Coturnix japonica: one gene and its partner. The main gene of each other region encodes a partner of the protein of the gene in region 2 in a complex. Links are inferred from orthologs where the notes say so. Each region holds a gene or a part of one and is shown on either strand. Other genes may lie near its edges.

What was found.
Region 1: ABI1 (region 2) and WASF2 share a complex: the UniProt entries of both Homo sapiens proteins name them as parts of the WAVE2 complex. The link is inferred for Coturnix japonica from reciprocal best matches to the Homo sapiens genes ABI1 and WASF2.

What each region holds. Positions count from the first base shown.
Region 1 is NC_029538.1:1,775,175-1,779,659, forward strand, and holds part of WASF2 (wiskott-Aldrich syndrome protein family member 2), read right to left. Parts: intron 1,792-4,485; coding exon 1,657-1,791; intron 1,145-1,656; coding exon 991-1,144; intron 1-990. UniProt on the Homo sapiens protein: Downstream effector molecule involved in the transmission of signals from tyrosine kinase receptors and small GTPases to the actin cytoskeleton. Promotes formation of actin filaments. Part of the WAVE complex that regulates lamellipodia formation.
Region 2 is NC_029517.1:14,562,627-14,566,090, reverse strand, and holds the end of ABI1 (abl interactor 1), read right to left. Parts: coding exon 3,391-3,464; intron 1,945-3,390; coding exon 1,769-1,944; 3' UTR 897-1,768; downstream 1-896. UniProt on the Homo sapiens protein: May act in negative regulation of cell growth and transformation by interacting with nonreceptor tyrosine kinases ABL1 and/or ABL2. May play a role in regulation of EGF-induced Erk pathway activation. Involved in cytoskeletal reorganization and EGFR signaling.

The DNA of each region.
Region 1 (4,485 bases), on a different chromosome or scaffold from region 2:
AAAATAAAAGCCACCAGCCCAGTCAACAGATTAAAGGGCTGCACTGAGAAGGTCAAACGCTCTGCTCTCACCTCTGTCCTCCATTCAAAAATAGGCAGCAGACCCACAGCAGCAGCCGCCTGTCCCAGCACTCCCCCTTGCCATCGCTTCCACCCTCACACACGCTCTGGATTTCAGAGCTCGGCTGCTCTGAGCAACCAGCAGGAGAGCAGCAGGTCTCTCACTCCAACTCCCACTTGTTTGTCTTGTATTTTTGGTGTGAAAAAATCTTCTCCAGCTTGGGAACCCTAAATCAGACCGGCAGCGTCCTTGAAACTCGTGTGTGCACACACACTCACTCTCCTACTTTGCAGTGCAGCTGCGTCTGGCAGAAGACAGCTGCCTCCAGCTATCTGTAATTACTTTTTACCTGTTCAGAAGATATTTATGGATGTGGGCTAAGTCTCTGCATTCTGACCCCCTTTGCTTCTACTATGGACAAGATGGAACGACACAGCAGGAGAGAAGGGCTCACACAGCCCACCTAGGTCACATTGGATGTCTCAGTGCAGGCGTGGGAGGCCATGGGAAGCATCCCCAGACCTACAGGAGCCTGCTGCGCCCACTGGGGTGAGAGCCACACACAGATGGATGCTCTGCAATTTGCACTGCAGCCTTCTGGAAAGAAGCCACGGGGCTACAGTGAAGCATAAGAAAAATGCATCACCTGCACAATACCTTGCGTGTTTATGCAGTGCAAGGCAAGCCTTGCCCCAAGGCGGTCACAAAAGTGACAGCAGGTAACCAAACGTATAATTTTCTAGCTATGCTCATTTGTACAGCCTCAAAAGCAAAGTTTCACGTGAGATTTCCTGGGGGATCTCCAACTCTATTTCCTATTGAAGATGGCTACTTCAGTACAGCAGGGGATGGGAAATGACCTCGGCTGGACGGGAGGAAGCAGCTTCCTCTGTAAGGGAACAAGTGCCTACGGAGGTGTTGTGGTGTTACCTGTAAGGGGAAAGAATGTTGAGAGGTGGAGGAGTATTGCAGGTCCCATAGGTTTCAAGGACAGGCACTGGCAAAGAATCTCTGTCGAAGAGCTTCTGGTCCTGAGTTGTAGAACTTTTGAAGGCCTTCCTGGTGTTAATGCCTTGCAGGGAGACTGTAAGAAAGAGAAAAGAGCGAGTGAAGAGCAGCTTGACCCAGGCCAACGGCACTGAGGATCGAGCAGCAAACATCTGATTTCAGCTGGAGTTCTTGGCGTGCTCAGCACTCCTTAAGCTCAGGTTCCTGTTCCCACAGATCTCTCGGGAAGCCCAGCAAATCTCACACAGTGCTGTGACAAAACCTGCTGCTGTACAGACACGGCTCAATAGCTGCCAGCGTGGTTTCAAACCCCTGCAACCAAGACTTGGGAAGTCTATGGGCACCCAACTGCTGAAGGACGAGCTTCCACATGGAGAACTGCTAACAAGGAAATCTCTCCCCAGCCAGATGGATGCTCACATGGCAGCACCGGGCTTCATTGGGAGGGACAGAACAGTCCCTCTTAGTCCAAGAGAAGACATTAACACCAACCATAGCACCATGCTCATTGTAGGGCCATGGACCAGCCGGGCTCCAAGAGAACCTTTACCACGCTTTGTCTGCAGGGACCGTGCTGCACTCCATTACCTTCCTCCTCTTTGGGATCCAGCTGAGTGACTTTGACTTGCAGGCGGTCAACTCTCTCGACAAGAACGCTCATCCGGGAGGCAAAAGTGTTGGCTTGAGTGAACAGCTCTCCAAATATGTCCTCAGCAAATTTACCTGCAGTATTAAAGTGACCGTGTTACCATCATCAGCCACATCAAACCACACGCCGACTCCCACTTTGTCTTCTCAAAGAAAGAAAGAAAGAAAGAAGAATGAGCCACACCAGGGTTGGGTGCAACACCCAAAAAGACAACATTCCCTTCCACCAACACCTGACATTTCTGAGGGATCTCTGGGCCACAAAGAAACAATTGAGACGTGCTTTCAAGCCCGTATTAGAGTAATGAAAAAGAGGGCTGACAACGTAACAGTGGTCTGAATCCGGATGGGTCTGCAGGTCCTTTAAGATTCACTGCTGCTGTTTATTAGACAAGACAACACAGACTTTTATTGCTCTGGAGAAGCTCAAAGGCTCCTGGTCTCCAGCAGACCCGCCTCCAGGGGAACTGGCACATATTTACAAGCTCAAAGAGCTCTGGAACCAGAGAGCAGACCCAGTCCTTGATCCTAAAGCCTGAGCTATAACCGCAGACAAAAGCACTGACCCTTTTGTTCCTTCAGGTGGCAGTGTCTGAAAAATTGATGCATTCACGTTTATTCTAAATCAAAACCAAAAGGGAACTTCTCCAACAGGAATATTCTCTCTGTAACAGCTTGGCTTGCCCAGTGAGCTGCGATGACAAACATCATCCATCGTTTGGATGGTGAGAGCGCCTCGGGGCTTGGACCAGGAGCCTGCTGCACCACTTACAAGTCTAACAAAAAGAAGCCCCCCGTCCTGAAGAGTTTAAAATCTACATATGCAAGGAGACATGACCACGGGTGAACAGAGATGGGTGAACTGACAGAATAAGAAGCTAAAAGGAGCAACGTCCTTAGTGCTCTGCTCTCCAGCATAACCTGAGGGTGGGAACCCCAAATAACCACGCAGAGGACAGCACTGATGGGGTGGGAACAGACTTGGCACTGACAGCAGCCAGACCCACCGAGTTCCCATTGATGGGAAACATTTCCAGGCACGGCTGCTGAGCACGAGGCTGCTCCCAACGAGCCGTCTGGTTCTGTAAGTGCATCATCACACGGTCAGCAGTTTGTTCTGGAATCTGTTAGTCCCAGAGATCCTCTCCGACATTCAGGGAAGGATAAGCAGTGGGAAGGCCGACTTTAACAGCAATGCTGGAAAATGTGGCTGTCTGCAGCACGTCACAGGGGAAAGATCCCCTCCACGAGGCACAGCAATGGCAGCTGGTAGTGCCTGTGCAAAGCCTTCCAGCAGGGCTGAGCTGACACCCATAGCAGAGGTTGCTCATTCCCCCCCTGTTATCAGTGACTCGTTCACAATGCCACGCAGTTCTCCTTACACTGCCAAGCACGGAGAACGAGGCAGGTTAAAAATCAACCTCCCCCACCCTTTCTGGTGGCAGTGCCAGCTCCAAGTGCCTGCAGAAGGTAAAAGCTGGATGTGAACTGCAGCTGACCTCCCTCGGCTCACCTGGACAGCACTGACTCCACGTATGCTCTGCTAACAAGCCCAGCCAGCTCTCCCCAACCTCATGGGGAGGACTGCAGCCATGGAGACCCAAGGGCTGGATTGCACTCACTGCAGCCACGTTTCACCAAGCACTCTGTGCTCACCATCAGCACCAGCTCTCCTGTTTGACCAAAGGAAGTGAACACTTACCTACGTGATCATTTGTTGCCCCTCCCAGCAACAGCCCACAGAGCTGTAATTTGGTTCTGTGTTAATGAGAACCGAGAATCAGTTCCAAATCTCACCAGGAACTGCAACAAGTAGAAGGGAAGATACCAAGTTTGTGGTGCTGAGCTGCATGTTTCAAGCACAAAGAGCACTGCACGTGGTGTCCTTAGCCCCGTAAGCAGCAGGGATGGTTGGTGTTCCCTCACCTGTCTAAGTGCATCAGTCCTGAGTTACCATTCAGGATCTGGCATACGCTTCAGTGCTCCACGTGCAGTTTTAGATGGGGAAAGGCAGAGATTCATTTTTGGTCTCATTACTTTGACTGTTGCAAAAGTGCAACTCACAATCAGAATGATCTCTGTCACGCACTGGCAGGAAGACAGGCGGTGTGATTCAATAGGTCTCTCCATCTTTAGCTCGTGCATTCCATAGCACTGCACAGCCGGCTTATACAGAGCGCTACCAGCTGTGATAGTAACGAAGGGTAAACTCACTGGAATATGAAAGTTTGACAAGATTTATGTTTGCATCTTTGTAAAGAGACTGTGGTGCAGCAGGCATGGCTGATTATTCACTTGACAGAGCTGTCACAGCCTACTGAACCTGCTTCGCATTCCCTCAACGCTCAGCGTACGAAGGAGGAGTGGATTTCTTCCTCCAAAGTAAGAGAGGTAAAGGAGGGGGGCAGGACTTTGGTCAGCTGGCTGCGAGTGCTGTGCAGCACCGAGTCTAAATAGCTTCATTTAAAGCACCGCTGACCACAGGGATGCGGATAAGGGATGGTGCTCATTATCCCCCCACATGCCCTGCTCTCCTCCAGGTACCTGGCTGCATGCAGCTCCCTCCCTGCACCACGCAGATATCACAGGGCACCTTCCTAGCAAAGGAGCCTGGCTGCAATGTGGCTCCCAGTGCTTCACTGTGTCCAGCTGAGGCAGCCATGGAGAAGCTTTGAATATCTGAGCTTTGCAAAGACGGCCTAAATCTGCAGGATCTCACCAGGGCTCTGTCACACTAACCCGCTGCATGCCTTTGGACTGGGATTAGCT
Region 2 (3,464 bases):
TTCAGAGCAAATCAGATCATGCTGTACAAATGTTTTAGTGGGGGCTGTTAATTGTGGGGTAGGGGCAGATGTTTACATGTTGATGCACAAAGGCCACAATGAGAATAAATATCAATCAGTGTATGAAAATTGAAGTTGCTCCGGATTTCATTCATTCACAACAATAAACAGAGCATGCATGTTGCTATCTGTTCAACAGAGGTAGTTTGAATGCTTCCCTGGCTGTTAAATTACAGAAGTATCTGGAATTGTGTATAGGGGAAGAGATTATAACAACAGATAGCGTGTAGACTTGAATAGGTTGTATATGTAACTAGTTTCCAATTCATAATGAAATACAGGTATGTTATTGGTTGTTACTTGCCAGCAGTTGGGAAAGTAGAAGGTTTAGTATTTCAAACCCACGCTACAATGAATGATTCAACAGCCAGCCAAAGCTTCAACTCCATCATCTTCCATCACTCATTTACAGAGAATATCCAATGCCCTCTCAGTAGAAGACTGCTTTGAAGTCACAGACACATTCCTATTACAGTAATTATCCAGTACTACCGCATTCCTTTTCAGGTTATTTAAACCACAGTATTTGCAGAACAGAAGTATCACCTCTAGCTATCTCTGCTTGTTATCCTTTGATGCAAATGGTTTAAGTGTGTTGCTCCATGCCAGGTAAAAGGAATCCTCGTCCTGTTCTGGCTGTTTCCTCTCTGTCAGATCTGCAGCACAGCCCCCTGTCTCTGCTCAGCTGGGCACACTACCACGTCCAGACACAGTTTCCACTGAGAAATGTCAGCTACAGACAGTGTCAACTCATTCTATCTAGATAACTACGTTCAACTCTTGCTAAAACTGACACTGGAAGAAAAGAACTTTTAGGAGTTTGTATAAATGGGTAATTCAGGTTTCATATCTAATTTATTTGCCCTCTGTCAGTGATAAAGTCATGTTACAAACATTTGCTTTTTAGTACATTGCCTGGGATAACACAGCCGTGATTTTGCTACGTTAGCATTCCAAACTTCTTTGTCAAGCCAACCAACAAAGTAATGGACAAGACCTTTGGTTCACTTATATATTTATGAATGGAAAAAGTCATAATGTAAATTTACTTATTAAAAAAACTTGGGTACAAATTACACATACATAAGACCACCCATTTTTTTGATTCACATGGACACCTTAGACCCGAACAACTCATCGTAATAGACTTTAGTGAGAATACTCCAGGTAAAGATTACAACAATTGGAAGCATCTTGGATTTTTAAAAAAGTATATTTCAATACATAAGTTTGTATGCATGCTTTAAACAAATATAGTTCAAGAATGAGCAAAGAGTCTAAACAAAAAGTAACATGACCAGCACTAACATTAAACTTCTCATCCAGATTTTAATATGTTAGTCTAACGTAGTGTTAGTTACCATGCTGTACTGAAAAATGTAATGGCACAATCTGAATCATGGTTCATTAAATATTATACCCTACTTCCCCAGAATATTTAGGCTGGTCATAAAATTAACAATGCGTAAGTAAATAAGTATAACCAGTTATAGACAGTTGCTTGTTTTACAAATTGCCATCAGGTAAGACATACTGCCCCCAGAGACTCAGAGAGATGGACATTCAATCATACCATTAAAACAGTATGGCCTGAAGAAATGGGCACATTTTTTGGAAAGTATATTAAGACAATTCTGTTAGCTTTTAGTTACCCCTTGTAAATAATCATGGTATGACCGAGTACAAGACCCAACTTGGAAAAGCAATTTTAATCGGCATAGTGCATGATTGACTCAACATAATTCCCAGGAAACAAGCCGGTTACTCGATTGCAAACTCCTTCATACCAGCCGTCATCGTTCTTCTTTATCACATAAATGATTGCACCCTCCATAAACGACAGCTCGTCATCTTTGTCCTTTGTATAGTCATATATAGCAACAACTGTGGATTGAACAGGGAAAATGTTAGCACTATGTTAATAGCACCCCTCAGCATCATCATATTTTGTAAAGACTTGTTTGCCATCCTGGCATTTTCTGTTCTGAATTCACAGTTTTCCCATTCAACATCAAGTCCAGAAAGTGACTTCTCCCCTTTCTTGCAGTCCTGGCTGCCCATAAGCAGTGGGTGGTGACTGCACTAAATGCTCCTAAGCCTTCTGGCATGGGCTGGCTGGGGTGCTGTGCACCAGTGCATATGGCCACCTATAAGCTGGGTTATGCACTAGGTGGGCCTAGTGAATGTGGTGTTCATTTCTGCTCAGACTGCCCCAAAGGCATCGATCCCTGCATATCTTGATTAGAGAAAGCCTTAAAAAAAAAATCACTCTGCAGAAGAAGACCACTAGGAACATTTCTTACACAATAGCCCCTGCAACTATACCATGCCCTGCATGCAGTACAGCCAGCAGCAAGGACTGAACACAGCAGTTCCACCGCTGCTGCCAAGATGGTACCACAGACACATTGCATGCACATGACAGTACCAGCCAGGGCCTGAGAAAACTTGCAGCGTTGCTGTTGACAGACTGGTCACTGCCCTAAAAGAGACAGCTCCATGGGCAGGAAATCAGTCATTCGCGGGAAGAAATGTTTATTGTATGAGTTTATGTCTAAGCACATTTACAGTCTGCTGATGCAGACTCACTGGTATGTCTCACAGACTCACAGAACGGTTTGGGTTGGAAGGTACCTAAAGGCCCATCCAGTTCTAACCCCCTGCAATGTGTAGGGCTCCCACCCAGCAGCTCAGACTGCCCAGGGCCCCGTTCTATCCAGCCTTGAACACCTCCAGGGATGGGGCACCCCCTGCTCTCTGGGCAGCCACTGCCAGGGCCTCCCCATCCTCAAAGAAAATTTCCTCCAAATATCTAACCTAAATCTCCCCTTTCAGTTTAAAACCATCCCTCCTTGTCCTGTCACTGTCTCCATGGAAGGCCCACTACATTTCACAGCAAAAAGCTTCATGGTCTGCTCTCGCTGGCTTTTCAGCTGGATGGGGGATAAAACAGGACAGAGCATGGGCTTTCTGGGCTTTGTGCAGCGCTCTTTCTAGATGACTGCTCAGCAGCCCTGAGGTAGCCGCAGATGCAGTCCAGCAGCTTAGCAAAGATGAAAAGCCATCGGATTCATATCTGCTTCTCATAACTGTTTTGCTATATTTTTTTTATCCCTTTATTCTAGAATGCTTGAAGATATTTTATAATCCTTCTTTAAAAGGATTATGTTTTATCACATCAGGTGTAGCCACTGACAAACTAAGAACAGAACGCTTCGAGTTCTGACTAGCAGGGACAATGACTTTTCATCAGACCAAACTTAGTCATTCACCCCCTTCAGATACCATTAATCCCTGGTGCTGCAGGTACACAGTTGCAGCCCTTCCTACCTTTCTCTATGTAGTTCTTCGGCGCCCAGGCAGGATCTCCATCCGCGTAGGGATCGCTGTACTGCACAACAGCA